7 linked regions of the Macaca mulatta genome follow. The protein of the gene in region 1 interacts with the protein of each later gene in a pairwise test. Links are inferred from orthologs where the notes say so. Each region holds a gene or a part of one and is shown in the gene's direction. Other genes may lie near its edges. The genes, in order: RBPMS, QKI, CCNK, AMMECR1, RUSC1, SF1 and ZBTB32.

Region 1 (3,921 bases):
GTTCACTTTTCGGTGTTGATTAGGTATGCACAAGGGTATCCTCCACATCCCTTTTGCTACTGCCCTCAATTGGTTTCTTCTCAGAATGAGTGAGTCATGCTCGGGAAGAAATTCCACCCACTCCAAGACTTCTGGGTCAGGGCTCTGTGGCTTTTGTTAGGCCTCCCTAAGGACCTCTCTTTCCTTCCCCTTCACCCCTTATTTCCTGTTAATGCCATTACTATCCAGCCACAGGCTCTTCCTTGTATCCTTGAAGCTGAGCCTGTGAAGTTTGAAGTTCTGAGTTGTTCATCCTGGTCTCTAAAGTAAGAGAGTCTTATTTTTGTGGATATTTCTTTTTCTTTCTTTTTTTTTGAGACAGAGTCTAGCTCTGTCACCCAGGCTAGCGTGCAATGGCGCGATCTTGGTTTACTGCAACCTCTGCCTCACGGGCTCAAGCCATTCTGTCTCAGCATTCCAAGTAACTGGGATTACAGGCACATGCCGCCACGCCCAGCTAATTTTTTTTTTATATTTTAGTAGAGACAGGGTTTCACCATGTTGCCCAGGCTGGTGTTGAACTCCCGAACTAAGGCAATCCACTCGCCTTGGCCTCCCAAAGTGCTAGGATGACGGGAATGAGCTAGGGCATGAGCCACAGCACCCTGCCTGCTCTTATTTTTTTTCAAGCTCATTAGGAAGAACGGTGGCGAGGGGACGGGGGATGCTTTGGAGCCCTCAGGCCCATGTGTATACATTCAGAACACTAAATGGCAACTGTGGTCTTTGGAGACTCATTTTCAGGACTCCAGTCCCTTTCCAGACCCCACCATGAAAACATGGGAACTGAGTGGGTCCCATGGGTGCATATTTAAAATGCACTCTCTTGGGATAGCTTTTTGACATGTAGGGTCCAGAATTCATGGTATTGGATGCTTAATAATGAAGGCATTCTTGAATGGTGGAAGGATTCCAAATAGACTTGTCTTGCCCTAACTTGTCTTTCATAGTGTCTGTGATTTATTTTACTGAATATAATCTGTTTTAGGTAAACTGCAGGAATAGGGTCAAAGGTAACTGAAATTACTATACATTAAAGTGTATAACTGTGCTAGGAATTTCCTGGTTCAAATTTTAAACTGGAAAGTTTTTGTCTAAAAAGAAAAGGAATAGTTGAAAATCTGTGTAACTACATTTTTTAAGTAAATTAAATACCACTGACTTTCAGGACACTTTGTGTTGTCATTTTTCCTGTAACCTGTGTAAGTAGTAAGAATGACAGTGGTTGCTGACCTTTTTTCCTGATAGACCAGGGTTTACTGGTGTGTTTATTTTGTCACCATTCCGGTTTGACTCTAAGGAAATGAAAACATCTTCCATTTGTTCTCTGTTTCCAAAGGGCATCCGCTTCGATCCTGAAATTCCGCAAACACTACGACTAGAGTTTGCTAAGGCAAACACGAAGATGGCCAAGAACAAACTCGTAGGGACTCCAAACCCCAGTACTCCTCTGCCCAACACTGTACCTCAGTTCATTGCCAGAGAGCCATGTAAGTCGATCTACTTTTCATTTAAAAATAATAATAACTAAGAACCGTTCGTGTGCTGCATGTGAGGTTACACCACGGGACATGGAGCTGGCTGAGTCTTATTTTCCATTTCTGTGAAGAGGTTGCCTAGGCGTTCTTGGTGTCAGAATTCCAAATACAGCAATCTTGTTTGCAATAGGCTGTCCCAAAAGATGGTTCAGCTTGAACAGAATCATAACTTCAGAATTTCATTTGATGTACTACAGATTTCCTTAATGTGACATTGACCATTGTGAGTATGCCCCTAGTTGCCTTGGGTATAAACCCTTTATTTCTCCATGCTCAGACATGAGAGCTGGTTCTCAGCATTCACTTTAATCCATTTGTTGAAGGACATCAGCTCGGTGGCTTTGGAAAAATAGGATATTAAAAGTGAAAGAAGCAGATCTTAGGAAGTTGGTTCTATTCAGTTTAGCCATAACTCTAGGGGGAAAAGTAAACACACACAAAGAATTTATATATTGGAACAGTCAGTCTAGCAAACTAATACCAGCAAAACTTTAAGGAAATTTGGGGCTTCCTGTTTCAACTTAATTGGATAAGGACACTGGCTGATTGCTCAAGACATCTTCTACCCCACATTAATAAGCTTATTTCATTATTTCTGCCTTTCATTGAATAACTTTAAAAGATTGAATTTTCTTTCTCAAGCTCAGTCAGTGGCAGAAATGGGGCATGAGACAGGCCTTAACTTTTCCTTTCATTACAGAGCCATACGTGATTTAATATGGCAGGGCATTCAAGGAAACCCAAATGACTTGGATTCCAAGTTATTTGGAATATTTCTGTCCTGTCATTTTTGGTCTGCTTTCGAAACCACACGATTGTGATCTTCTTCCTTTGATAATACATTTTTAACTCTTCTTATTGAAATTGAAGGACACATGGATTCCTTGCTCCCCCCATGTCACATGCATGTCAGATTTAATCAGGTTATCTTTGGAAGTCACAGCCATTCTGTAGCTCAGTCACTCTTGCTTGCTACTCATCAGTAGAAACTAATAGATAAGTCTTCCAGAATGTTCTAAAATAAATGTTTCTATGAATCCAGAAAGTCATAATAGATGAAAAAATTATTTTGTTCTTTCACCTTCTTTGTCCCAGGGAAACTAGAAAACTTTGCTTACTTATTTGGGAAGGAAATCTAAACAAAAGTTACATCTTACAGTGTACTTGTAATACAGCAGAATATAGGAACATCCTTTACATAATTCTTCATCCTTAGAGTATCTAGCTTAATACTTTGTATATTGTATGTATTTAATATTTATTATAGTGAGTGGATAAATTGATACTGAAATTGGGCTACTTGTAGAACTACAGATGGATTTCTATGCCTCTTCTCTCTGAAATTTCTTCTCTCTTGATCAAGGCATCAAAAAAGAGTATTTTTAGGATGCCTGAATTTGTAAAAATAACCTAAAGTAATTCTTTGCCTTTTTAGTGAATTTGCCAACCTCAGATCTCAGAGTTCTTTGAAAAGATTAATTCAGACAGGAAACGTAATGCTGGTGATACTTAACTTTACATCCTCAATTCTTTGCTGAATGCTCTTTTTAACAGGCCCACAAAACTTTTTGTGAATTTCCTACAACAGCCCTGTGACATAGGTAGCCAGGAAGGTTGTAGCCAGGTCACAACATGCTATACAAAAGCAACAAATAGGAACAAACTGAACATTCACAAGTCCCTGAAGTTACAGGACAGCATAGTAACCGAGCTTAGAACTCTTTTCTGGCAAGCTCTACTCATCTCCCTTCCCAGCATACAGAACAGTACAAAAATGGCCAGATAGTTTCCATGACAGGGTAAAAACTTGCTCAGCTGTTGACAGCAACACAAATTTGAAGTTTAAATAAATAAATAAATAAATAAATAAATAAATCCAAGCAGCCAGCAGTGTATTCTTGAGGAAAATAAAAGTCAGCATGATTTATCTTAATATAGCTCATTTTTACGACACAACGTCTTGATAAGAGCAAGTCCACTGTGGCTCAGGTCAACTTTATTATCCATCGCCATTCCCTCTGGGAACTGGGAACTTGCCCGTCAGATAAACTTGCTTACCTGGAAGCACACCGCAAGACTAAGAACACTGTGTTGGGTTTACACGGACAAGCCCAGTTGCATTGTACTCAGAATTGGGTACTCAAGGTGGTCGGTTTAACTAATCAGGTGTAGACTATAATGGAATTGCAGAATTTGGGGATTGGAAAGGCCCTGAAGGCTAATCTTTGTTGTAGGCCATAGAGGTTTTTTGTAAATGTTTCTTTTTGTTAATTTTTTATATGGTAGTGGCTGAAAAGCACTCGTTGCCATCGCTAAAAGAAGAATGTTCTGTGGTTTGATTATA
Region 2 (4,711 bases), on another chromosome or scaffold:
CACAAAAAAAATCACCTACGTTCACTATTAAGTCAGAAGACAGAATGATTAACAGTAAATTTCAGCCGCGAATTACTCAGTATCAATTGGATATTAAATAACTGCATTATTTTAATGGAATGTTATAAAGGATTTGCAACAAAATGCAGATGCAGATGTAGATTTAGGGACTGTCGACTTCTATAGATCAAGGAGGACTTCATTGTTGCAGCTCAGAACATTCTTCCAAACAAATCTAAATGTTGGAAATCCACCACACTGCAGAGAAAGACCTCTTGCCTCCGTATTCTTTCTTCATCTGTAAAAATGTTGACTTCTGCTTTTCAGACTACGCGCACAGGCTCTTTCCTACTGCGGCTTCATTCCCTCACGGAACACTGATGCCATCGCGAAAGAAGCATTTCGAGCACGACTAACGCTCCCCTTATAATTTGCTAAGCCGCTGCGCTCGGGTCTCGCTACGATTTGCTTTCAGAATAACGAGAAGGTGCAACAAGATCGCTTCCCTGGCGGCGCGTCAACCGCTTGGCCCAGACCCCCCACGCCCGCCCACCGCCCCGTGGGTGCGCACGCGTGTCCGCGCACGCTTCCCCGCCTGGCGAGCGCGAGGCTTCTCTCCGCCGTGCTGCTTTCCAGCCTCTCAGCAAATCACGAACACGGAAGGGAGCCACGGCGGCGACGGGAGGGGCGTCGCGCGTGGTTCCCTCGGCGACAAAGCGGGAGCCCGGCGCGACGGGCGCCCTACCCCGCAGAGGCGGACGCCGCCGCACGCGCCTCAGAAAGCCTCAAACTCCAGTCCTCGGCTCCCCCGCCACACCCCCGCCCCGCAGCCAAGACCCGCGAGGTGGCGGGCCCGACGGCCAGGGCAAGCCCACCAGCCCTCCGCACCGTGGGCGACTGGCCAGCACCCGGCCCTAAACGGGCAGCCCCAGCCCCTAGGCGGCTGCCGCCCCCAGCCCCGCCCACGCCCCACGCAGGCGCGCTCCGGGCCCCTTCCCTCCCCCACCGCGCGCTCGCGGGGCCCGGCGGGGGCGGAGCGACCCTCGGAAGGGGCGTGGCCACGGGGCACGACGCGCGCACGCGCTCTGGAGCCCCATGGCTACGTGTCGGGCCACGTGATGCCCACCCCGAAAGTCCCCCGTGAAGCAACAGGACGTTAAAAAAAATTTCTTTTCTGCGGGGTGGATGAGAGGTTCTGAAAAAACTATAGTAACGGGAGGCGAGGCGGAGGCAGCGCTGGCGCGTCCCGCTGGAATTCCTCCCGCCTGCCGCGCCAGCCCCAACCGCGCCCGAGCCCCGCGCCCCCCCGCGGCCGTCAGCCCCGCAACCCACACCCACCCGCCCCGGGCGCCCCGCACGGCGGCGACCCAGTCCCTGCGCCCAGGCCCGGGGCCGCCGAGCGCCGCCGCCCGTCACGCTCCCGTCGCCCCCGCCGCCCGCCCCGCCAGGGAGGCAGGGAGGAGGGGGCACGGCGCCGGCTGCTGCCCGGGTCGGGGGGCGTCGGGCAGCGGGAGCGCGCCGGCCGGGCCCCGCTAACGGCCGCCCTGCGCGGCCCCGCCCGCCGCCCGCCCCCGGCCCTCCCCGCGCCTTCGCCCCTCCCCCCCCGCCGCTGCTGCCGCCGCCGCTGGCAGCGCCGCCTGAACTGAGGCGAACTCCGCCGCCAAGTGAGTGAGGAGGAGGAGGAGAAGGAGGAGGAGGAAGAGGAGGAGCGCAGTCAGAGCGCGGCGGCAGCGGCAGCGGCAGAGGCGCCGCGGCGGGGACCAGCCCAGAGAGACCCCCCGAGCCCGCGGCACAGGCGGCGGCGGCGCTGAGCGGGCGCGACCAGCCGAGCGAGCGGCGGCCCCGGCTCCTCCTCGTCCGGCGCCAGCGGCCCGCGCCCTGCGCCCGCACTCGGCCAGCCGAGACCCGCCTCCCGCCCGCCCGCCGGCCTCGTGAGGGACGCGCCGAGCCGGGCGGCCGAGAGCGGCGGCGGCTGGGAGCGCGTCGGGCCCGGGCGGAAAGTGCCTGCGGGGGGCGGGCGAGCGCGCGGTGCCGGCCGCCCCGGGGCTCGGCGCGGGAGCCAGAGCGGGAGCCGGCGCGGAGCGGGACGCCGGGTCCCGAGCGGCCCGCGGCCGGGGCTCGCCCCCGCCCCTCCCTCCTCTCCGGCGGCGGCGGCGGCGGCGGGCGGAGTGAGCTGCGGAGCCTGGAATATGGTCGGGGAAATGGAAACGAAGGAGAAGCCGAAGCCCACCCCAGATTACCTGATGCAGCTGATGAACGACAAGAAGCTCATGAGCAGCCTGCCCAACTTCTGCGGGATCTTCAACCACCTCGAGCGGCTGCTGGACGAAGGTGAGCGTCTCCGGGGCCCCGGCCCCGGCCCGATCCCCGCCGGGGCGGCCCCTTTCCCTGCTTGGGATGGTGGGGAGGGCGGGAAGGTCACGGCCGGGCGGGACCGCGCGCCGGGGGGACTGGGAGGCCAGGAGGGCGCACAAAGGAGGCGCCGGGCCGGGCTTGCGGCGGCGGCGGGCGGGCGGGCGGGCCGGCGGGCGGGCCGGGGTGGACCCGCCGGGGCCGGACGCCCCCTGCCCGGCCCGGGACCCCGCGCCGCTGGCGCCCAAGTTTGTGCGCTGCGGAGGGCTGCGGGGCGAACCCTGCGGCCCCTCTGGCTTTGGCGGTCACATTTCCGAGAGGCCAGCGGGGGCTGCGCGGGCTCGGTGGTCCTCGCCAAGCCCTCCCGAGAGCAGGCCCACGCCGCGCCGCCGGCCTGGAGGACGCGCGTGTCCCCGGCGCGGGCCCCGCTCCTCTCCTCGACCTCCTGAGCTTGCTCTGCGCGGACCCCCGCTGCCCCGCGTTCGGGAGCTCTCTCCCTCCCATGAGGACTAAAGCGGGGTTTCGTGCTTGGGGAGTTGGAGCAGCTGGTAAATACTAAGTGGAAGTCAGAGTGGGGCTCGTTAGTTTAAAGAAATTCCATAGGAGACCGAAATTATGCTGGCGTAGCCGACAAGGAGGACGAAGTGACGGCGAAAAGCACTTTTTTCCCTTTTGTTTGGGGAAGCGAGAACTGTTAGGGAGTTGAACTTCACTTTTCGGGGGTGGGGGGGGGGTGGAGTGCGAAATAACGCGATGACAGATCGGAGCGCAGCCTGAGTTAGGAAGAACTTGGGCGGAGGGTTTGCTCCCGGAGACGCAGCCGCCCGAGTTTGTAGGACAGGGAATCGAGACGTTTGGAAAGGGCGAAATAAAATTGAGCCGAAGTTTTCAAAAAGCTTTATGGAGCGCTGTGGGGAGCGAAGAATGACAAGAAGATTAATGTTGACCAACTCTGGAATTTCCTTAAGAAGTTCTCATAGCAGTATCTGGAGTATTAATTTCTAGTAGCTGTGGGTTTCTGTGGACGCCTAGAGACAAAAATAAATGACCACAAAAAAGTGTTTCGAAAATCGACTAGCCAGGAGTTTTTTTTTTTTTTTTTTTTTTTCCTGCTCAGAGGCATCACCGGAGGACTGTGTAAAGGAAACTGAAAACTTTAGGTTGAAGAGATGAGCAATGGAGTTTAGATTTTTCGCAAGAATTTCGAGATTTTAAAAATAGAGTCGGGGAACAGGAGTTTGAAGCTTGGGGAGTTGGAATGTCATTAGAGAACAAAAGGCCGGAAATGTTTCCATGATAAAAAGATGATTAAAGAAAAATCCCTGGAGTTTTATTGTCTTGAAAGTCAAAGAAACAACTTAAAAGTAGAAAATGGTTAGGTGTTACGGCTTTCTCGTCGTTTTGCTTCCATATGTTAAACATACAGCACTCACCAGCATTGAAATGGGCATTTTCCACTGTTGGAACAGCAAATCTGTTAATTTCAAGTTGCTCCAGAGAAAACTTGAGCTGTCCCTTTAAAGGGTTCTGCTTTTCCTGTTTGTGTTGGCATTTGAAAGATTGTGGAGGCAGAAAACTTTCTGGAATGTCAAAAAAAAAAAAAAAAATTGCTGGAACTCTTAAATTGAGTATTTCCAAATGTGAGCGCTAAGGGGCGCCAGTTATTTTTTAACCATGGAAATGGTTGGAACCAAATGTGTAACATACTCAGTAATCTGACCTATATTAAATTTAGTTGAAACTTAAATTATAGATTATTTGATTTGTCATGTGTTTATATAGTGTTTTCGAACATTGAAAACACTTTCCTTAAAATTATTAGCACAACTTCATGACGTTTCAAAAGTAACACTCTTAATATTTTCTCCTTGGCATATTTCGGTTAAGTTAAAGTTTTAGTAATATTAGTAACAATTTCTGGTGAAAGTTTTTTTTCTTGAGTGCAGTTGTTTAGAAGGAATCCTTTATCGACGATAAAATGAAAATAGGCCTTGACAATATTTAGGGTTAATTAAAATTAAATTGTATTCTTGAAATGTTGAATTCAAAGACTGTAGGAGATTCCAAAAATGTGAAAATACTTTCACCTTATGTATACTATTTAAAAAACTGCATACTTTTGAGTTTCTTTAGTTTTAAAAGGCTTCTTGTGCTTTTGTGTTGATCTAAAATCTCTAAATTTAGAGCTGATTCCTTGTTATCAAGTTTCCAACCTTAGGCTTTAATAATTTTTAATCTTTCAAATCCAGAAATGTTAATTATGTCATTATCTCTAACAAAGGCTTATTTCTCTCTGGTTGGAAATAGTTCTCATTTGCGTTTTAAATGTAGGAGATCACTATGATATCGCTTAGATAAT
Region 3 (3,921 bases), on another chromosome or scaffold:
GACAGCCAGGAGTAGGCCTGGGACTTGAGTGGGACCTGGGAACCAGATACACTGCCAGGAGGCCATGGCTGGAAAGAGCAGGGCCTGGGAGGCACAGTAAAGCTGGGCCACGAGGAACGGAGGGAAGCACGCTTCCTGGGAGGCCCTAGACCATGGGAAGAGGTGTTCAGGTCAGCAGTGATGTTTAGGGAGGGGTTTGGTGGCAGTGTATGGCACTTGGTCAGGAGCAAGTGTACAGAGGGAATGGGGTGCCGAGGATAGACCCCCACTTGCTGTTCGAGCTCAGTCACACAGCACAAGGGCGGGTGCACTGGTGACTTGAAGATTCAGGCTGCAGGGTCGAGTGTTGGAAGAGTTGGCTTCTGCAAGGTAGAGGAGCAGGCCTGTGGCCCAGGTGGCTGTGGAATGACACACAGGAGGCATTGAAGGGTGTCAGCGCTTTTCTGCACCTCTTTTTTAGTCAGCTTCTGGAACCACAGGGCATCTGGCCCTGACCTGGAGCCAAAGCCAGTTCTCTAAGGCCAGGCATATATGGCCTTCCTGCCCAGTGGCTGGCGAGGGCTGATCTGCACAGGCAGTCCCCAATGGCACACCTGTTACCAGCCCAATCAATCCTGCTCATGCTCGCTTTGGCAAGATCAAACGGGTTGTGTGCCAATGGCCACGTCTACACAACCAGGATGTCATGCTCTGCCTTCCCTAACCCAAGTGCCTGGGGAACCAGAAGCATCTTCATGGCCTTTGTCCTCTTTATGTTCTCTGGAACCAGAAATGTTGTGCCTATGGTTTGTCTCCTGTGCTGCCTTGGGAAAGGACACTCATTCTGTGTGTTTGGCTACTTGTGGTGGGGTGTTCCGACGCCATTTTCCAGGGGTCTGATGGTGACCAAGAGATCACAGGCCAAAATGTGTTAAATAAGGCTTTGGCGGAAGGGGGCATGAGGGCTCATGGGCTGGGAGGCGCTGCGGGAGGGGCCTGAGGCTGGTTCTGAGCACAAGTATCTTGGGTGTGCTTGACACCTAGTGCTGCCTATCCCTGCTGCATACACACAGCAGCACGCACACACACAGCAGCACGCACGCACACAGCAGCACGCACACACACAGCAGCACGCACACACACAGCAGCACGCACACACACAGCAGCACGCACACACACAGCAGCACGCACACACACGAAGCATGCACACACACGCAGCACGTAGCACGCAGCACGCACGCGCAGCACGCTTGCACACACTCCTCTCAAGGAGGCTGCTATCTGAGAGTACGCAGTGGGGTTTGATCTAACCCCTCTTGAGTAGAATAGAACCTGAATTGCTGCTTCGATGGGTACATTGGGAATGTCAGAGACTTGTACGGAATTATTTTAAATGCCATCACATTCATTTGACCAACTCTGAGGCTTTCTGCAAAATGCCACTGCTGCAGACAGGAGTTCAGTGTGGCCCTGACTCTTGGGGTCAGTTTCTGAAGGCAGAAAAACAGAGGAGCCCCCACACATTTTACACTAGGAAGAGGGGGCTGGGGCCAGGGCACAAGGGGGCTTCGTGTGCTGCCGAGACTGCCTGCGGGTGGTGTGGTTAGGGCTGAGGGAGGGAAACCCCAGCTCATCACAGACAGGGTGGAGGGCCTTTTTGACAAATGGTGGGGAGACATCTGGTGGCATCAGGACATGGGGAACGGGCCCATGTGTTGGGCCACAGAGGAAGGGGCAGCTGCTCCCTGCTCCTCTGTAAAGATGGCCCTGAAGGGCCAGGAGGCACTGAAAAAGCAGCTATTGCTTGCAGAGGCCGGGCACCAACACATCTCTCTCCTGCAGACCGGAAGCCTCCCCTCGCTGCTGCCTTAGGTGAGGCTGAGCCGCCGGGCCCTGTGGATGCCACTGACCTCCCCAAAGTCCAGATTCCTCCTCCGGCTCACCCGGCCCCTGTGCACCAGCCACCGCCGCTGCCACACCGGCCCCCGCCCCCGCCGCCCTCCAGCTACATGACTGGGATGTCCACCACCAGCTCCTACATGTCTGGAGAGGGCTACCAGAGCCTGCAGTCCATGATGAAGACCGAGGGACCCTCCTACGGCGCCCTGCCCCCCGCATACGGCCCACCTGCACACCTGCCCTACCACCCCCATGTCTACCCACCCAATCCGCCCCCACCACCTGTGCCTCCTCCCCCAGCCTCCTTCCCCCCACCTGCCATCCCGCCCCCTACTCCTGGCTACCCTCCACCCCCACCCACCTACAACCCCAACTTCCCACCCCCACCTCCACGCCTGCCCCCTACCCATGCAGTCCCCCCTCATCCTCCTCCAGGCTTGGGCCTGCCTCCAGCCAGCTACCCACCTCCTGCCGTGCCCCCTGGAGGACAGCCCCCTGTGCCCCCGCCCATTCCCCCACCTGGCATGCCTCCAGTTGGGGGACTGGGGCGGGCAGCCTGGATGAGATAACGTGAGCCTTTTTTTCCCCCTTTGTTTTTTTTAACAAGTTTTTCTAATCGACTTGCAGAGTAGTTGAAGTGGGTAAGCAGCAGGGTACCTTATATAATGCGCGACAGTTGCAGTATGGGAAGAATGGACCAGGCCCCTGGGATAAAATCAGGGTGGTCCTCACATCTAGAGGACGGGGACAGCCAGCTTTCAGAGTAGCCTCATCAGCGCCCTTGCAGTCTGACTGTGTACACTTGGTTCAGCTAATGTCTGAGAGTCCTGCACTGGGTTACTTTATACTAGTGAAGATGTTAACCAGCCATATTGGCTCAATAAATAGCTTCGGTAAGGAGTTAATTTCCTTCTAGAAATCAGTGCCTACTTTTCCTGGAAACTCATTTTAAATAGTCAAATTCCATCTGAAGTCAAGCTGTTGTCATTTTCATTCAATGACGTTCTCTCCCATGACACCCAGAAGGGTCAGAAGAACCACATTTTTGATTTATAGATGTTTGCATCCTTTGTATTAAAATCATTTTGAAGGGGTTGCCTCGTTGGATGGCTTTTTTTCCTCCAAGGAGAAGGGGAGAAATGTACTTGGAAAGTAATGTATGTTTACATCTATTTGCAAATTCCTGTACATAGAGATACATTTTTTAAGTGTGAATGTAACAACATACTGTGAATTCCATCTTGGTTACAAATGAGACTCCTTCAGTCAGTTATCCAAATAAAAGCAGTTCTGAAACTATCCCTTTCTCTGTTAATGGGTGGAAGGTAGGGCTCCAGGCCTTCGCAGTCCCCGGGTGATAACATTGTACAAGCCCCTCCTTCCGGACCCTGGGCACCGGGAGAGGCCTGGCTGCAGTTCACAGGAGCCAGAGCCAACCCCACTGCCTCCCAGGGCACTCTGGGTGGATCGGCACATTGGCCTGCCAAGCCAGCCTGCACCCATCCTGTGCCTGCCTTGGTTTCCTTTGGAGGACCTGGTTGAGTTCCAAACCAGCTTGAAACTTTCAAGCCTTGCTGCATAGAACACAGACGGGAACACAGGCTTGGGTTTGAAACCCTTTCCACTTCTGGCCTGCGATGAGACGGAGGCAGCTGGAGGAGCAGCGGCCTCGCCATCCACCTTGAGGGGCCAGGGCTGTGTCTGTGGAAGGGGCCCCGACTGAGCCCCCATCTGAGGTGCTTGAAGGGCCTTGGCCCTGTCTCTGCTTGCTGACCCTGCCACCCATGACGGAAACAAGCACTGAGCACCCAGCCAGGAGGCTCACAAAGAGGCCTTTATTTATCTAGCTCAAAGTAGACACTATCACAATCTTGTTTATTACTCCTTTTACTAAAATAGTTCAAATCAATGTGTTTACCACACTATCAAAAAGTTCTATTCTTGTCTCCCCACGTCAGAGTGGTTGAATAGAAGGTAGAAACAGGCCGGGAGTCCACAGGCTCCCAGCTCTAAACGGCGCCAGGGCAGGAAGGGGTGGCTCCG
Region 4 (4,473 bases), on another chromosome or scaffold:
TATGGTACTGGGCACCTAAAAAACGTTCAGTACATACTATAATAGCTATTTATCTGATTATGTGCATGTATCTGACTTAATTCATAAACTCTTTGAGAGTGGGAGGCATACTTCCTGCGCACGCCCTGGATTTCAACAGAAGTATAGTGTTGTGCACATAGTATGGTGCAGAGGCTCAATATTACTGAATGAATAAATTGTTTTGTTTTTATTCCCTGAGTGGAATGAACAGCCCCCAGCTATCTGCAAGATCCCACGCATGTAGATAAAAGGTGACAAAAACCAATCTGCAGTTTTAAAATATGCAGATACCTGACTTTATCTAGATGTTCTAGCATGGTGTAGATACAATGCAAATAACTTACGCTTTCTATCAGGTTCATTTCTACAAATTTTAACATTTATTGTCATTATTTTTATTATTAAGCTACACTTAGGCACCTAGAAAGGGACTGACTCATATGCCTCCTCATCCATCCAAGCATTTAATTGAGAAATTTTTAAAGTGAATATTAAGAGCTAATTATATACTTAAACAAAATCTTTCAATTTGTGACTAAGTACATTACCTTCCCTATTTATCTCTAAGATCTGAGCACTACAGATAATATTCCTAATTGCTTTTTACCCAAGCCAAGAAATAAAAACCAAAACCAGAAAAGTCCACCACTGCAAGTCCCAAAGCACAATTAATATCTTTGAACCAGTGAAGTATTAGTTAGGACTTTATTTTTGGCTTTTTAATGTTTACAAACGGCTAGGAGGGTAAGTCGGGGGAACAAGTACAAGATACATCGATTCAATCGGACTTGAATATTTCTCCATAAGGAAAGGAAAGAGTACCCTGGTGTGTGCTTAGGCTGGAATTAAAAAGAGCAGCGTGGCCATTTCCCCGACTGCTTTGTACATACTTAACAGGGGCGGTCTCAGGTATGGAGCTTCAGGCACCTGCTCGCTCACACTCCAACAGTTCAGAAACCCGTGTATTTGAGGCCGGGTGGCTCAGGTTCCACGTAACTGGGCTTAAGTGTCATTAATACTACTTGCAGCGGGGGTCACTGAGCTGTGCTTTGGGACCTGGATGCTCACTTCGGACTTTCTCCTTTCTTCCCCCCTGCCCCCACTAGTTTCCCTTTCCCTCCTTCCTTCCCGGGCGTGCCCACCTCTTCCCTTAGCTCCCACTTTCCACTATCTGACTCTTGTTTCCTTCACCTTCCTTTCTAATCGGCTTCCTGGCTTCCATCCTCTGCCGGCCGCAGAGATTGAGATTCGGGCTGGGGCTGGGGCTGCGGCTCAGAAGAGGCACGAGTCCGGCGGGACAGGCGCGAGGCGCCCAGCCGCGAAAGCGAGGAGCGCGCACCGAGGCGGGGGCGCGCGCGGGGCAGCCGCGTGGCTAGGCAGACGGGGCCGGGAACGGCGCGCGCGCGCCCCGCCAGCCTCTGGCGCGCCCCCGGCGGCCTGGGCCGCAGCGTGCTCGCCCCCGCCGCCAGCTCGCCTCACTTATGGGTCGGAAACGCTGCGTGGGGGAGACTGTTCCAAGATGGCGGCGGGTTGCTGCGGGGTGAAGAAGCAGAAACTGTCCAGTTCGCCCCCCTCTGGCTCGGGTGGCGGTGGTGGCGCCTCCTCCTCCTCCCACTGCAGCGGAGAGAGCCAGTGCCGAGCTGGGGAGCTGGGACTAGGAGGCGCCGGTACGCGGCTCAACGGGCTGGGAGGTCTAACCGGAGGAGGTAGCGGCAGCGGCTGTACCCTCTCTCCCCCCCAGGGCTGCGGCGGCGGCGGCGGGGGGATCGCCCTGTCGCCACCTCCGAGCTGCGGAGTGGGGACCCTACTTTCTACCCCGGCCGCCGCCACCTCTTCCTCACCCTCCTCATCGTCCGCCGCCTCGTCCTCATCGCCGGGCTCCCGGAAGATGGTGGTGTCAGCAGAGATGTGCTGCTTTTGCTTCGATGTGCTCTACTGTCACCTGTACGGATACCAGCAGCCCCGGACCCCCCGATTCACCAACGAGCCCTAGTGAGTACCGTGCCCTCCGCCGCCCTCTCCCTTGCGCTCGGGATGGGGCTCAGAGTTGAGGCAAAGTGCGAGTCCGCCTCCCGGCCGGCGGATGCCCCTGCCCTCTCGCTGCCCGGGTCCCCGGAGCCACTCAACTGAACTAAGGGCACCCTGCGCTTTTTGCCCTCCGAGGCAGGCACCCCACACTTGGAGCAGGGTGCTGCTGCAAGGGATGGCCCCGTGGCTCCTAGAGGTGTTAGCTTTCTCTTTGCGATGACTTCGAGGAGTTTTGACCCCTTTACTTGTCTTCTTCACCACCCCTACCACCCCTCACCCTGCCCCGGTTTTGGAGATCTGGGTTACTCAAGGTGTTGACCTCTCCTCACTTTGGTTTCCGTTACCCCAAGTGAAAGCCCCGCCAGTATTCCCGCCCCGCGTACCTTGCACATGGAGAACTACTATCCCATTGCAGGGCGAAAAATAGCAAGTATCCAACTTCTGTTAGTGATGGAACTTAGCTCTGGAGCTTGTGAGGTTACCCATCTTTTCCTCTGGGTTTCCTTGTGCCCTGGGAAAGGGGGAGGTTTCTTAAAACACATTTTCCCTTACTACTTATTTTTATCCAAATACACCCATTAAAATGTGTTTCTCGTGAAGCGAGCGCACTGCCGGCTTCCTCACATTTGAAGAGTGAGACCTTTTTTTTTTTTTTTTTTTTTTCATTCCACTGTCTGGATAATAGCTCATTCAAAGAGAACTGTCCCCACAGAGCCACTGTCAGTTTGTACATTAAGCGTGCATTCGCTTTTGTGTCGATTTCACTTTTTAAGAAATCCATGTTATACTCGATGATTTGAGAACAGTTAAATAGTAAATGTGTAGGAATTGTTATGGTTTCCTTTGGTTTTGTACCTTAAATTATCTTACCCTTCAAGTGTGTGGTTGAAAATTTTTAAATAGCACTGTTACAGCTAAAAGCCAGGTTAATTCTAATCCCTGTCCATTTGCATGTGTGGGAGATGGGGCATATGGTTTTTTTTTTTAATGTGTAAACTGAATGTAAACTGACTTTTTGAGTTAAATGCTAGACAGAATGTAAAGACCAAGAGAGGGCAGAATGAGAAAAAGTGCAATTGCTTTTATTTGAGTACTTAGCATCAACAAGAAAAATAATACAGGAAAAATTTCAGTGAAACTCGTACTGAAAGGCATCACCCCCTTTTCCAGCTAAAAGTGCCGCTTGTCCCCCATATCATAAATACCTTAATTGATGTTCTTTTAAAACTGCTTCATTTTGTGAGATTAGAGGATTGGACTACTATTGTATAAGTATAAACACTTCTGCCTAGACTAAAATATTAATATGTAAAGTGGAAATTACAATAAAGTGTCCTGGAAATTGTGCATTTGTACTGTTTGTTTTATTTGGCTTTTATTCTTTAAATGTCTTAATTTTGTATGACTCTTCTGTGGTCTGTGCATTTTCTTTTAGACTTGGTTAATCTTTGGGCATTGGTTCATGAGAAGTGCATGAAAGAGCATCCAGGAGAACACTTTGTCAAACAAATATCTTTATAAATTTCATAGTGTTAATTCTAGAAGCTTAAATCCTAAGTCCACACCTTTATTTAGCCAATTAATTTTTTTGGTTAAGAAGTAAAATTGATTTTGAAAAGACTGCCATGTAAAAAAATCTATGAAATATTTATTAGCTTGAGTCACTTATTTGTGACTTTTCTGCCTTCTCTTGGATGTCTTTGATATATTAAAGCTAGTCCTGGGATGATACTTAGGTTGGCTCTGCAAAGTCATGGGACTGCAAAAATTCACTCCTGTTTAGTTCTTGAGCTGTTACATGAGTTTGGCAAAGGCTGCTTTAGTATTCACGCTCCATTGCTCCAAAGCATATGAGAACACACTTTCAGGAGGTGCTATTTTCACACATTTTAAAGTGAGTTTGGGTTAACTCAATGACTATAGCAAGAATTTTAAAAGGAAAGTGAGCTTGACCAGTTCATACAGAAAATGCTTTTGAAAATTTCATTTTAACAGTAGCCACTTTGCACACATATTTAGATATTATTCTCTTCAAACACCCCAGCCCCTGGATTTCTTTTTCATGGAATTAAGCAGATGATAGGACACACTTTTGACCGCTGTGGATATGTTGAAACGGTGGTGGAAGAAGAAGAACTATTATCATTTAGCAGACCTTGAATGTGTCAAGTATTCTATAAAATAACTAATGTAGAGTAGACACTGAAGATGACCAAGTGGAGAATGAAAGTTCACTTAAGTGGAAAATGGACTGTCTTATTTCCATATATCTTCAACTCATTTTTGAGGTGTACTGTGGAAAATTCAGGAAAGCTTCCTCATTATGGGAGGGAAATAACTAAGCATTTCAACAGTGCCTTAGTAAGTACCACACATTTGTCTTTCTGTTTTACATATTTAACAGCATTGTGTACTTATTAGTGT
Region 5 (4,162 bases), on another chromosome or scaffold:
CGAGACGGGTGGATCACGAGGTCAGGAGATCGAGACCAACCTGGCTAACACAGTGAAACCCCGTCTCTACTAAAAAACACAAAAAAATAAACTAGCCGGGTGAGGTGGTGGGCGCCTGTAGTCCCAGCTACTCGGGAGGCTGAGGCAGGAGAATGGCGTAAACCCGGGAGGCGAGCTTGCAGTGAGCTGAGATCCGGCCACTGCACTCCAGCCTGGGCGACAGAGCCAGACTCCATCTCAAAAAAAAAAAAAAAGAAAATTGGAGGGAGGAAAGGAGTGGGTGGCTTTGGAGATGTTCTGAAATATGAGAATGAGAGGAGTGGAGGGGTCCTGGAGGCTCTGGGGAAGGCCAAGCCCGTTTTCCTGTCTTCCAACCCCTTTTAGGAAAATTACGGGCAGAAGGAGGCTGAGAAAGTGGCCCGGGTGAAGGCACTATATGAGGAGCTGGATCTGCAGGCTGTGTTCTTGCAATATGAGGAGGACAGTTACAGCCACATTATGGCTCTCATTGAACAGTACGCAGCGCCCCTGCCCCCAGCCATCTTTCTGGGGCTTGCGCGCAAAATCTACAAGCGGAAAAAGTGACCTAGAGATTGCAAGGATGGGGAGAGGAGGCTCTCAATAAATAATTGTGTAACCTTTTTGTGGTTCTGTTCTTGCTCGGCGCAGCCAGAGTCTGGCTCTTTCCAGAATGTGCGGGGTGGGGTGCTGGGAGGACTCGCTGCACAGAAGCGGGACCCAGGGGCCTTGGCATCAGGGCCAAAAGCTTGGGATACATCAAACCCGCTAGGTGGGTGACACAAGACGCTAAGCGCTGGGGGCGGGTCTGAGCTACGCCACGCCCATGCGCGAAGGGGTGCAGATGCGCTGCGCAGAGTGGGTTGTGCTAGTGCCCCTCCCCTCCCGCTCTGTGCCCCGCCGGGCGGGGACCGTGGGAGCCGAGGACAAGCCCAAGGCCGGAGCGGTTCCAGGAGGACCCTGGTGAGGAGGGCTCGGCCCATGGGTGTAGGCCGATGGACCAGGGCACGAGGGGCGGGGCAGGACAAGGGAGCAGGAGAAATGAATAGAGAAGGGGTGCGGTGGTGACTGAACGATGGAGACGAATGCGGAGAGAATGGACATACCGCTGTTCTGAGGGGCGAGGGCGCAGGCTGGAGCCCGGCGGAGGCAGCCAGCAGATGTGGAGTTGACGAGCTGACGGCTGCTCCATCCTTTTCCTCTCCAGCTCCCACCCCTTTCCTGCATTCACCAGGCAAACTCTGCATATCGACCCACCCCCATCCCCCGCCTCCTTTCAGGGCATCTGGGTGGGTCTCCCTGGGTCCCTTCCTGTGGGAGTAAGGGGTAGGCAGGAGGGCAGGGCCAGATTGCGGCAGCAGGGACCCGGAGGTCCATTCTGGGCCCGGACCTCTTCCGGGCCCCCGCCCCCCTTCGGAAATCCAGAGCGCAGCCGCGTTCTCTGACCCTCCCGGCTCCATTCCCGGAGGGTTACATTCGACTCCACCTGCAAACACTGCAGTGGAAACTAATGGCCAGTCGATTGCGATTTGCATCTCATTGAAATATCTTCCAAAGCAGCCAGAGCCTTCAGGCCTGCTGCTGCCGTCAGTCACCTCAGTGTCCTTCCCGCAGCTCCTGTCCTCACTGGCTGGGCTTCGCCACCCCTGTCTTCTAGGTCTGCACCTGTGGTTGCCAGGTAGGTGGATGTGAGAGACCCTACCCTCCTGGTTCTCTAGAAGCCATCCCATCGCCGCTGGCACCATGCTGTCTCCTCAGAGAGCTTTACTCTGCAACCTCAATCACATCCATCTCCAGCACGTCTCCCTGGGCCTGCACTTGTCCCGCCGTCCTGAGCTACGGGAAGGGCCCTTGAGCACATCCCCTCCCCCAGGAGACACTGGGGGCAAGGAGAGCAGGGGCCCCTGCAGTGGCACCCTGGTGGACGCCAATTCCAACAGCCCAGCTGTGCCCTGCCGGTGCTGCCAGGAGCACGGTCCGGGCCTAGAAAACCGGCAGGACCCATCACAGGAGGAAGAGGGGGCTGCCTCTCCCTCAGACCCAGGCTGCTCTTCCTCGCTCAGCTCCTGCTCAGATCTTAGCCCCGATGAGTCCCCCGTCTCAGTCTACTTGCGGGACCTCCCTGGTGATGAGGATGCCCACCCTCAGCCCAGTATCATCCCCCTGGAGCAAGGTTCCCCACTGGCTTCAGCAGGCCCTGGCACCTGCTCACCGGACAGCTTCTGCTGCTCTCCTGATTCCTGCTCCGGAGCTTCTTCTTCACCCGATCCTGGCCTGGACTCGAACTGCAACGCCCTGACCACCTGCCAGGACCTCCCTTCCCCAGGCTTGGAGGAAGAGGATGAGAGCGCGGAGCAGGATCTCCCTACCTCTGAGCTCTTAGAGGCGGATGATGGGAAAATCGACGCTGGGAAAACGGAGCCCAGTTGGAAGATTAACCCAATTTGGAAAATTGACACAGAGAAAACTAAAGCTGAATGGAAAAACACGGAAAACAGTAACACTGGTTGGAAAAACAACGGGAATGTTAACTCTAGCTGGAAAAATGAACCTGAAAAATTCGACTCTGGTTGGAAAACCAACACAAGAATAACTGATTCTGGCTCGAAAACAGATGCAGGGAAAATTGATGGAGGATGGAGAAGTGACGTCAGCGAGGAGCCGGTGCCCCACCGGACAATCACGTCCTTCCACGAGCTGGCCCAGAAGCGCAAGCGGGGCCCAGGGCTGCCCCTCGTCCCGCAGGCCAAGAAAGATCGCAGTGACTGGCTCATAGTCTTCTCGCCCGACACCGAGCTGCCCCCCTCGGGGTCGCTGGGCGGCTCCTCGGCACCTCCTCGGGAAGTCACCACCTTCAAGGAACTCCGGTCCCGAAGCCGGGCCCCACCCCCGCCAGTCCCGCCTCGAGACCCCCCAGCTGGCTGGGCTTTGGTCCCGCCCCGGCCCCCACCCCCGCCTGTCCCTCCCCGAAGGAAGAAGAACCGACCTGGACTGCAGCCCATAGCGGAGGGGCAGTCCGAGGAGGGCCGGGCTGTCAGCCCAGCGGCTGGCGAGGAGGCCCCAGCCGCGAAGGAGCCGGGAGAGCCGGGCGCGCAGGCCGGCCTGGAGGGTAAGAGGTCGCAAGAAGCGGGAGGAGGGCTGGGCTTCGGCCGCTCACGCCTCCTAGGCTTCCAACCCGGCCCCCTGTCTTCCCTCCATTCTGTGTCACCCATCCTCCCCGCCCCTTCTACCAGGGAGCGCTCCGGGAAAGGGAAACTGGGTGGGTCATTGGGATATGGGACTAACTCTTTGCTCCCTCTTCTTCCCGCCCCTCCTTGCCTGGCTGCCCATCCCGCTGCCCTCCTTCCCTCTGCGCCTGGCCCCGCCAATCCCGCCTGCAGCCGGTCCCCTCCTGCTCCCTCGGCCCCTGGTTTTCCGGTTCTCGGCCGACGGGCGCCCCCTGTTGGAGGGTGGGGGCGCAGGCGCAGCTGGGTCTCTGCTCCTGGCTCCTCTGGCAGGGTGGCCTGGCGCTGGGCTGCGGCTGCTGGGGGCGCCGAGCCCCCCAGAGGAGCAGCTGCTGCCCGTCCGCCTGTCCCCAGTGGGAGCCTATTCGCCTCCGACTCGGGGAGCCTTGCCCTGCCTGGCCAGCCCCGAGCTGGCACTGCTGCTGTCCCCGCTCTTTCCCAGAAGTAGCACCTTCCCCGCCGCGGCTCCCCCACCCCGCCAGGTACCCGCCCCCCCGCTGCCACCGCAACCTCGTCCGCCGAAGGCCCCTCGCTGGACCAGGAGCCCATCGCCTCCGCCCAGGCTACGTAAGACGGACCCGGGCAAGCCCCGCGGGCCACGCCTCAGGCGGGCCGCCCCGCCCGCTCCAAGGCCCCTCCCACTATCGCCCGGCCCCATTTTCGCTTTTTTTCTGGGGTTGCCCAGCTTGGTCCCGCCCTTCCGTTTCGGCGGACTCCAAGCAAGTTCGTCGGTTTTGGGGAATCTGGCCCCGTTCCTAGTGCTGGAGAGGGGAAGTTGTTGCCTTTCCTGCTCCATGGCCCGGTCCCCTCTCCCTCCAGACCCGCCTGGGCATAATGGACACGGGTTTACCCAGCCTCCATGCCAAGCCTAGGGGGTCCCAGCGAGTCTGTTGTTAGGGACTTTGGGTCACACCCTCCGT
Region 6 (2,737 bases), on another chromosome or scaffold:
AGAGCAGCTGTGACCTTGAGGTTGAATGTGCCGTTCGGTGGTGGCGGCGGCTGGGCGGAGGGACATCAGAGCTGTTCTTGTGTCTGGTACCTTCCCCTCAGCCCTTCCAGGGGCATTGGTGACAAAGGGCTTACTCTGTTAAGCCCAGAGACCTCGAGGCTGACCCCAGGGTAGTCGTGCCCACCCCTCCACTCCCCATCACCAGCCCCGCCCGCCCGCCCCCCACCACCGTACCGCATGCCAAGCAAGGAGCAGGCGCCCCTCGCCCCCATCCCAAGGCAGCAGCCGCAGACAGCCGCGGTGTGCCCCCGCGCGTGTGACCTTGGGCTTCTTTACCACCCCAGATACGACGACTACCACCACGAGCGCTGGCACAGGGTCCATCCCGCCATGGCAACAGCAGCAGGCGGCTGCCGCAGCTTCTCCAGGAGCCCCTCAGATGCAAGGCAACCCCACTATGGTGCCCCTGCCCCCCGGGGTCCAGCCGCCTCTGCCGCCTGGGGCCCCTCCCCCTCCGCCGCCTCCACCACCTGGTTCCGCCGGCATGATGTATGCCCCGCCCCCTCCTCCTCCGCCTCCCATGGACCCTTCTAACTTTGTCACCATGATGGGCATGGGGGTGGCGGGCATGCCGCCCTTCGGGATGCCTCCAGCTCCCCCACCGCCTCCACCACAGAACTAGACTTGTTTTTTAAGAAAATATATATTATATATAGAGAGAATTGGTCTCGTTTAAACACGCCGAACCTCACCATATGGAGCCAGACATTGGGACGCACGCATGTGATTGTGTGTGCACGCATGTGTGTGTGTGCACGCACTGGGCTGGGCCAAGCGACTGAGGATTCGCTTGGGAACGGGCAGGTGGTAGTAGGGGCGCCAGCTTGAGCTCTCCTGGCGCCCCGTAGCATCGAGTGTCTTCTTTGTCTTCTTTCTCTCCTCACCCAACTCCCTTTGCCTCTCCCCAAACCGGGCCGCCAGGATCCCTCCCCGCGGCGGCGATGGCCCGAGCCATGAGAGTGAGGACTTTCCGCGCCCATTGGTGACCCTTCCAGGCAGACAGCCTCAGCAACGCCCCTGGTGGACAGGATGGTTCGGCAAAGCAGCCTGAGTTATTTTTGTGGACGGAATCGGAACACGCTGGCTCCATATCGTGAAATTTTTATTAATTTTTTTTTCTTTTTCCTTTGTTATTTCCTTATCTCTTCCTTTCTTCAGACTCCGTCCAAGGAGATGCTCTCCCCGGTCTTCTGCTGCAATTAGATTCCTTTCCCTTCTCTCCAGTTCTCCTTCCCTTACCAAGGAGAGGGGAGCAAATGGTTTTGGGCATGGGCTGCAGCCATTCATGTCAAGCTGGTTGTGGCGTTCTTTGGTTCTAAGTTTTTCAAGGCGCCATAGCCACCCCCGAAGATATTTAAAGTGTGAGGTTTTTTAGTCTCTGCCACCCTTGTCAAGGGAGTCTTGTACGGTTGCCGAGGGTAGGTTCATTTCCAGGTTCCAGGATTCCCATCCGCCCTGGCGCTCCTGCCAGCAGTGGGTGGGCAGCCTGAGCTCCCTTGGGCTCGCCTGCCAGCCTGGAGTTCTTCCCGTGCTCCTTGACCACCTGAGCTGCCTCAGATTCCATTTGGTCCTCTCCTTCCTGGAAGGCTTTCTTTTGTGTTTTATTTTAATCCCAAATGTCTGAATGTTTTGCAGTGTCTAGGGGTTTGAGCCCCTCGTTTATTCTCCTTCCTTTTTCCTCCCGCTTCCCTTTCCATGGAGTGATTATGTTGATGATAATGTATACTGCGCGTTCTCTTCACTGGTTTATCTGCAGAAATTTCTCTGGGCTTTTTTTGGTGTTAGATTCAACACTGCGCTAAAGCGGGGATGTTCCATTGAATAAAAGAGCAGTGTGGTTTTCTGGGTCTGCTTCTTTATTTTTAATGCCCCCCCCACCCCCTGCTTTTTCTTTTCACATAAACTTCCTCTACCAGCAGCAGCAGCACCAACGTTGCCTTAACTTTTGTTCAGCACCTGGTCCGGGGGTGAGACTGTGGGTGGTTAATTAGGGAAGCCCACCACCTGCCTCCTGTGTGTGGCTTTGGTGGTGGGAGCTGAGTGTGTGGGTGGCTCCACAGTCTCCCCTTTGGTGACTAGTTAACATCGCTGAGAACCAATTTTGCCCCTCCTTGGTCACCGCTCATCTTTCTAGCCTCTGTCCTTTGAAGGCCTTTTCCTGGGGCTCAGACCTCCATGTTTGATGAGCTCCAGTGGTGATTTGTGCCTGGAAGCTGCCACCTGACTAAGGCCCTGGGCCTAGGGAGGCATCAACACTAAAGGTCAAGCCAACTAATCCTGCCTGTCAGGCACAGAGCAGCTAAAATTAAAACCGCCAAGTGGCTTTTTTCCTTCTCTGCTGGTGACTTGCAGCCTGCCAGCACTGTAGGCTTGGGGTGGGGGGGCAGGGACAGGATAAAGTGCTCCACCTTGTGCTTTGCCAGCACTTTTCGAAGGGTCTTCTGCTTTTTTTTATGTCTTGGACAGTGAGTGGGTAGTTCCTGTTACGGTTCCAGAGAAATCCATGTGTAGTCTCCACCAGGTAGTGAGGTCCTCTCCTGGGGAGAGGTGCCTTAGAGCTGCCCTGGTTCCACCTGCCTCTCCTTCCTTCAGGACGGCTGAGGGACAGTAGGCTCCCCCCAGCGCCTGGCTGCTGGGGCCAGCAACTGTGGCCTGGGCTGCTTTCCAGCTGTGAGCT
Region 7 (4,373 bases), on another chromosome or scaffold:
TACCTGCTGCGGGACCTGAAATAAACGACTTCAGGCCGGGCGCGGTGGCTCACGCCTGTAATCCCAGCACTTTGGGAGGCCGAGGCGGGCGGATCACAAGGTCAGGAGATCGAGACCACGGTGAAACCCCGTCTCTACTAAAAATACAAAAAATTAGCCGGGCGCGGTGGCGGGCGCCTGTAGTCCCAGCTACTCAGGAGGCTGAGGCAGGAGAATGGCGTAAACCCAGGAGGCGGAGCTTGCAGTGAGCCGAGATTGCGCCACTGCACTCCAGCCTGGGCGACAGAGCGAGAGTCCGTCTCAAAAAACAAAAACAAAAAACAAAAAAAAACAAAAACAAAAACAAAACAAAACAAAAAGGCCGGGCGCGGTGGCTCACGCCTGTAATCCCAGCACTTTGGGAGGCCGAGGCGGGCGGATCACAAGGTCAGGAAATCGAGACCATGGTGAAACCCCGTCTCTACTAAAAATAGAAAAAATTAGCCGGGCGCAGTGGCTGGCGCCTGTAGTCCCAGCTACTCGGGAGGCTGAGGCAGGAGAATGGCGTGAACCCGGGAGGCGGAGCTTGCAGTGAGCCGAGATTGCGCCACTGCACTCCAGCCTGGGCGACAGAGCAAGACTCCGTCTCAAAAAAAAAAAAAAAAAAAAAAAAAAAACGACTTCACCTCTTTAGTTATTTAGGTTATTTAGGTTTCAACGAGTTGATGCACAAGCGTAGCACATGGAAAGGGCTGGATAAACGCGAGGTGCTGTTACTCCCACCACAGCGCCAGTCCTTCTCCCCTTTTTACTTTACTTTTTATTTTTATTTTTTGAGATAGAGTCTTGCTCTTTCGCCCAGGCTGGAGCGTAGTGGCGCCATCTTGGCTCACTGTAACTTCCGCCTCTCGGGTTCAAGCAATTCACCTGTCTCAGCCTCCTGAGTAGCTGGGATTACAGGCGTCCCCCACCACGTCTGGCTAATTTTTGTATTTTTAGTAGAGACGGGGTTTCACTATATTTGTCAGGCTGGTCTCGAACTCCGGAGCTCAGGTGATCTGCCCGCCTCGGCCTCCCAAAGTGCTGGGATTACAGGCGTGAGCCACCGTGCCCGGCCCCTTCCCCCATTTTAGCGGTTTCGCTCCCTATTGGGGCCAGGGACGCCTCAGGCTGTCTCTGTCAAGACCTACAGCTCTGGCTGTTGTCCCAGGCTCTTCCGCGAGGTGCTCTCCTGCCTCCTGACCACCCCCATTCCCCCCCGCTCGAACTCCTCAGCGAGCGGCTGCGAAGGACGCGCCAACACTCCGCGTAGCGGGAAGGGACCGAAATCTCATCACAGCCTGAAATTGCTGCGCTAAACTCCCGCCCCGCTGCCCTCTGGTCAGTTTAAAGCGAAGACGAGCCTTAGGGCCAGTCAGAGGCGGCAGCGGAGGAGCCATGCCCGCCTCCTTGAGGCGCCCTGGCGTCTCATTGGCTGTGCTTGAGAATGAATCCCGGGCTAAGCCGCTTAGAAAGGAGCGGAGCCAGCCAATCAGCGGTGCAACCGCCGCGGGGGCCGGGCCAGAAGGCCCGCAGACAAGCACCTCGGAAGATTGGCAAGGGGCGAGCTCGCAGCTTGTCAGCCCCGAAGCCCTGCCCAGGGGGAAAGCCTGCTGGAGGGAGTCTAATCCCCGGGCCAGTTAATGTTGGGGCAGCGCAATCGGCCGTTCCCTCTGCGGTGGGGTGGTGGGCGGGAGTGCTGACACGTCCGCGCGCCGTTACTCCTGGCTGAGCATACAGTCGAGGTGGCAGTGGGAATTGGAAGTGCGAGTGTCACACTGCCAATCACCGGGCAAGGTACTGCCCCCTCTTGTGTCTTCCTTGTCCCTGTACACGTCCAGGCGAGGCAGAGTGAGCTGTGCCAGCAGTCGTAGTGGAGTGGGACAAGAGGACAAGAGGAGAGAAAAGGGAGCTGTCCACAGGCACCGAAGCCTGGCTGACTTTTTTTTTTTTTTGAGGCGGAGTCTCGCTCTGTCTCCTAGGCGGAGTGCAGTGGTGCGATCTCGGCTCCCTGCAATCCCGGGGTTCAAGCGATTCTCCTGTCTCAGGCTCCCAAGTAGCTGGAATTACAGGTGCCCGCCACCACGCTCAGCTAATTTTTGTATTTTTAGTAGAGATGGGGTTTCACCATGTTGGTCATGCTGTTCTCGAACTCCTGACTCCAGATGATCCGCCCGCCTCAGCCTCTCAAAGTGCTGGGATTACAGGCGTGAGCCACCGCGCCCTGCCTGGCTGGCTCTTTTATTTTATCTTTATTTATTAGAGACAGGGTCTCACTATGTCACCCAGGCTGCAGTGCAGTGATGTGATCATAGCTCACTGCAGCCTCGACCTCCTGGGCTCAAGGGATCCTACTACCACCTGGACCTCTCAAAGCGCTGGGATTACGGGCATGAGACACAGTGCCTGGCCTTGGCTTGCTCTTATGGGCCTCCAGGCCAATCAGGTGTGGCGGCAGCCTACACACCCCTACACACTTCCCAGATGGTAAAGGGTTGAGAGAAAGGTGACAGGGTTTGCAAATGGGAGCTACTTAGGGAGGCAAAATAGAAGCAAGAAAGGCAGGTCAGGCACGGTGTCTCACGGCTGTAGTCCCAGAATTTTGGGAGGCCCAGGCGGGAGGATTGCTTGAGCCCAGGAGTTCCAGGCTGCAGTGAACTATGATTGCACCATTGCACTCCAGCACGGGCAACGGAGGGAGACCCTGTTCATAAAATAAAAATGAAATAATTTTTTTTTTTTTTTAAAAAAAAGGACAGTGGTACTCCGGAGCACTTGCTGAGGGAGCCTCCAGGGCTGTTCAGGTAAGGGAGAATCAGGGTCCAGTCTCTTCATGGAGAGAGTGGGAAAGGGCAGACTCCACAGCCAATCAACGCTGGAGCCCGGCTGGAAATCAATGAAATCTCAGCCTAAGAGGCCTGAAGCCTACGGACCAATGAGACTCAAGGCCCTGCCTCTTCACAGCCAATCAGCTGCAGGTCAGAGACAGACGCGCGGGAGTGGCGCTGTCCTAGGTGCCTCCCATGCTGCCCAGCGTGCTCAGCTGGCCTGAGCGGGAGAGTGCGACCCGCGCTGCAGCCAATCAGCGTCCGCCTCAGGATCTGGGGGTGACCACGTGCGGGAGCCTTGCGTCCCTGGCCTCGCTCCACTCCCCACTTTTAACGGTCACTCGGCCTTGAGCCATCCTGAGTGTATGTGAGGCTGAAAGGGAAGGAGGAACAGGGTCTGGGCCGGTGAGTGCCATAGTTTTTCTTTACTTTCTTGGGCTTGGGCCTGGCCCAGGCAAAGCTGGGGTGTGGGAGTTTGGCCCCGTTGATGATTGGGAAGTGCGGGTTGAGGGTTTTAGCCCTTAGGGCTTTCCTCTGTCTTTGAGAGGCTGGAAATGCAGCCTCCTGGCCACCTTTAGGCCTAGGTTTGGCAGAGGCCAAGCCAGCTTGCCCTCTGGGTTGGTCCACGGCCCCTGAGGCCAGCCTGAGTGCGAAGGGTGTTGTGGGGAAGTTGCAGGCCCTTAGCTCTGCACAGGGTCATTGACCATGAGGTATGGCCTCTGGACAATGAGAGGTTACGAGGGGTCTCTGGACTGAGCCTGAATCTGGTGACTGAAAGGAGAGGCCTGAGGATCTCCAAAGGTTATGTAGGGGCCGGGCACGGTGGCTCATGCCTGTAATCCCAGCACTTTGGGAGGCTGAGGCAGGTGGATCATTTGAGGTCAGGAGTTTGAGACCAGCCTGGCCAACATGGAGAAACTCTGTCTCTACGAGGTTTCCAAAAAAAATTACCTGGGCATGGGGGCACATGTCTGTAATTCCAGTTACTCAGAAAGCTGAGGCAGGAGCACAGCTTGAACCCGGGAGGTGAAGGTTGCAGTGAGCCGAGATTGTGCCATTGCACTCCAGCCTGGGCGACAGAACGAGACCCTGTCTTAAGAAAAAAAAAAAAGAAAAGGAAAAAAAAAGTTACGTAGAAAGTCACTGGCCAAGAGATGAAACTAGTGTTCACTTGAAGGTCTTCTGGGGTCTTTGGAGCCAGCCTGGGCTGGGAGTGAATGTTCTGGACTCCAGGTTGAGATGTTCTTGGGAGATTTCCCAGTATGGGGTCCAGGTTGGATGATGTGGCCAAGAGGTTAGGCCAGTAATCCTCTGGAGATTCTAGGGAGAAGGGTTCTGAATCTCAGCCAAGCTGTTTGCCCTGGATGAAGTATTATTACCCTGTGGTGGCTCTGTACAGAACTAGGATTGGGTGGCCGGGCGTGGTGGCTCACACCTGTAATCCCAGCACTTTGGGAGGCTGAGGTGGGCGGATCACCAGGTCAGGAGCTCGAGACCAGCCTGACCAAGATGGTGAAACCCTGTCTC

Evidence for each region.
Region 2: the proteins of RBPMS (region 1) and QKI interact in binary tests that used the Homo sapiens proteins (3 or more experiments, as listed by UniProt). The link is inferred for Macaca mulatta from reciprocal best matches to the Homo sapiens genes RBPMS and QKI.
Region 3: the proteins of RBPMS (region 1) and CCNK interact in binary tests that used the Homo sapiens proteins (3 or more experiments, as listed by UniProt). The two-hybrid records come from large-scale screens. The link is inferred for Macaca mulatta from reciprocal best matches to the Homo sapiens genes RBPMS and CCNK.
Region 4: the proteins of RBPMS (region 1) and AMMECR1 interact in binary tests that used the Homo sapiens proteins (3 or more experiments, as listed by UniProt). The two-hybrid records come from large-scale screens. The link is inferred for Macaca mulatta from reciprocal best matches to the Homo sapiens genes RBPMS and AMMECR1.
Region 5: the proteins of RBPMS (region 1) and RUSC1 interact in binary tests that used the Homo sapiens proteins (3 or more experiments, as listed by UniProt). The two-hybrid records come from large-scale screens. The link is inferred for Macaca mulatta from reciprocal best matches to the Homo sapiens genes RBPMS and RUSC1.
Region 6: the proteins of RBPMS (region 1) and SF1 interact in a two-hybrid assay, tested with the Homo sapiens proteins (3 studies listed by BioGRID and IntAct). The link is inferred for Macaca mulatta from reciprocal best matches to the Homo sapiens genes RBPMS and SF1.
Region 7: the proteins of RBPMS (region 1) and ZBTB32 interact in a two-hybrid assay, tested with the Homo sapiens proteins (3 studies listed by BioGRID). The two-hybrid records come from large-scale screens. The link is inferred for Macaca mulatta from reciprocal best matches to the Homo sapiens genes RBPMS and ZBTB32.

The regions. Positions count from the first base shown.
Region 1 is NC_133413.1:32,278,621-32,282,541, forward strand, and holds part of RBPMS (RNA-binding protein with multiple splicing), read left to right. Parts: intron 1-1,378; coding exon 1,379-1,529; intron 1,530-3,921.
Region 2 is NC_133409.1:8,729,897-8,734,607, reverse strand, and holds the start of QKI (KH domain-containing RNA-binding protein QKI), read left to right. Parts: upstream 1-1,741; 5' UTR 1,742-2,189; coding exon 2,190-2,331; intron 2,332-4,711. UniProt on the Homo sapiens protein: RNA reader protein, which recognizes and binds specific RNAs, thereby regulating RNA metabolic processes, such as pre-mRNA splicing, circular RNA (circRNA) formation, mRNA export, mRNA stability and/or translation.
Region 3 is NC_133412.1:172,832,540-172,836,460, forward strand, and holds the end of CCNK (cyclin-K), read left to right. Parts: intron 1-1,821; coding exon 1,822-2,447; 3' UTR 2,448-3,177; downstream 3,178-3,921. UniProt on the Homo sapiens protein: Regulatory subunit of cyclin-dependent kinases that mediates activation of target kinases.
Region 4 is NC_133426.1:117,106,386-117,110,858, reverse strand, and holds the start of AMMECR1 (nuclear protein AMMECR1), read left to right. Parts: upstream 1-1,527; 5' UTR 1,528-1,540; coding exon 1,541-2,013; intron 2,014-4,473.
Region 5 is NC_133406.1:111,658,678-111,662,839, reverse strand, and holds the start of RUSC1 (AP-4 complex accessory subunit RUSC1), read left to right. Parts: upstream 1-1,632; 5' UTR 1,633-1,761; coding exon 1,762-3,127; exon of another isoform or gene 3,128-3,398; coding exon 3,399-3,809; exon of another isoform or gene 3,810-4,162. Other genes in the region: FDPS (farnesyl pyrophosphate synthase), read left to right, coding at 385-585; putative uncharacterized protein RUSC1-AS1, read right to left, coding at 567-1,553. UniProt on the Homo sapiens protein: Associates with the adapter-like complex 4 (AP-4) and may therefore play a role in vesicular trafficking of proteins at the trans-Golgi network. Signaling adapter which plays a role in neuronal differentiation.
Region 6 is NC_133419.1:9,632,444-9,635,180, forward strand, and holds the end of SF1 (splicing factor 1), read left to right. Parts: intron 1-344; coding exon 345-682; 3' UTR 683-908; coding exon of another isoform or gene 909-1,111; 3' UTR 1,112-1,903; downstream 1,904-2,737. UniProt on the Homo sapiens protein: Necessary for the ATP-dependent first step of spliceosome assembly. Binds to the intron branch point sequence (BPS) 5'-UACUAAC-3' of the pre-mRNA. May act as transcription repressor.
Region 7 is NC_133424.1:46,949,217-46,953,589, forward strand, and holds the start of ZBTB32 (zinc finger and BTB domain-containing protein 32), read left to right. Parts: upstream 1-1,541; 5' UTR 1,542-1,815; intron 1,816-2,772; 5' UTR 2,773-2,822; intron 2,823-3,042; exon of another isoform or gene 3,043-3,251; intron 3,252-4,373. UniProt on the Homo sapiens protein: DNA-binding protein that binds to the to a 5'-TGTACAGTGT-3' core sequence. May function as a transcriptional transactivator and transcriptional repressor. Probably exerts its repressor effect by preventing GATA3 from binding to DNA.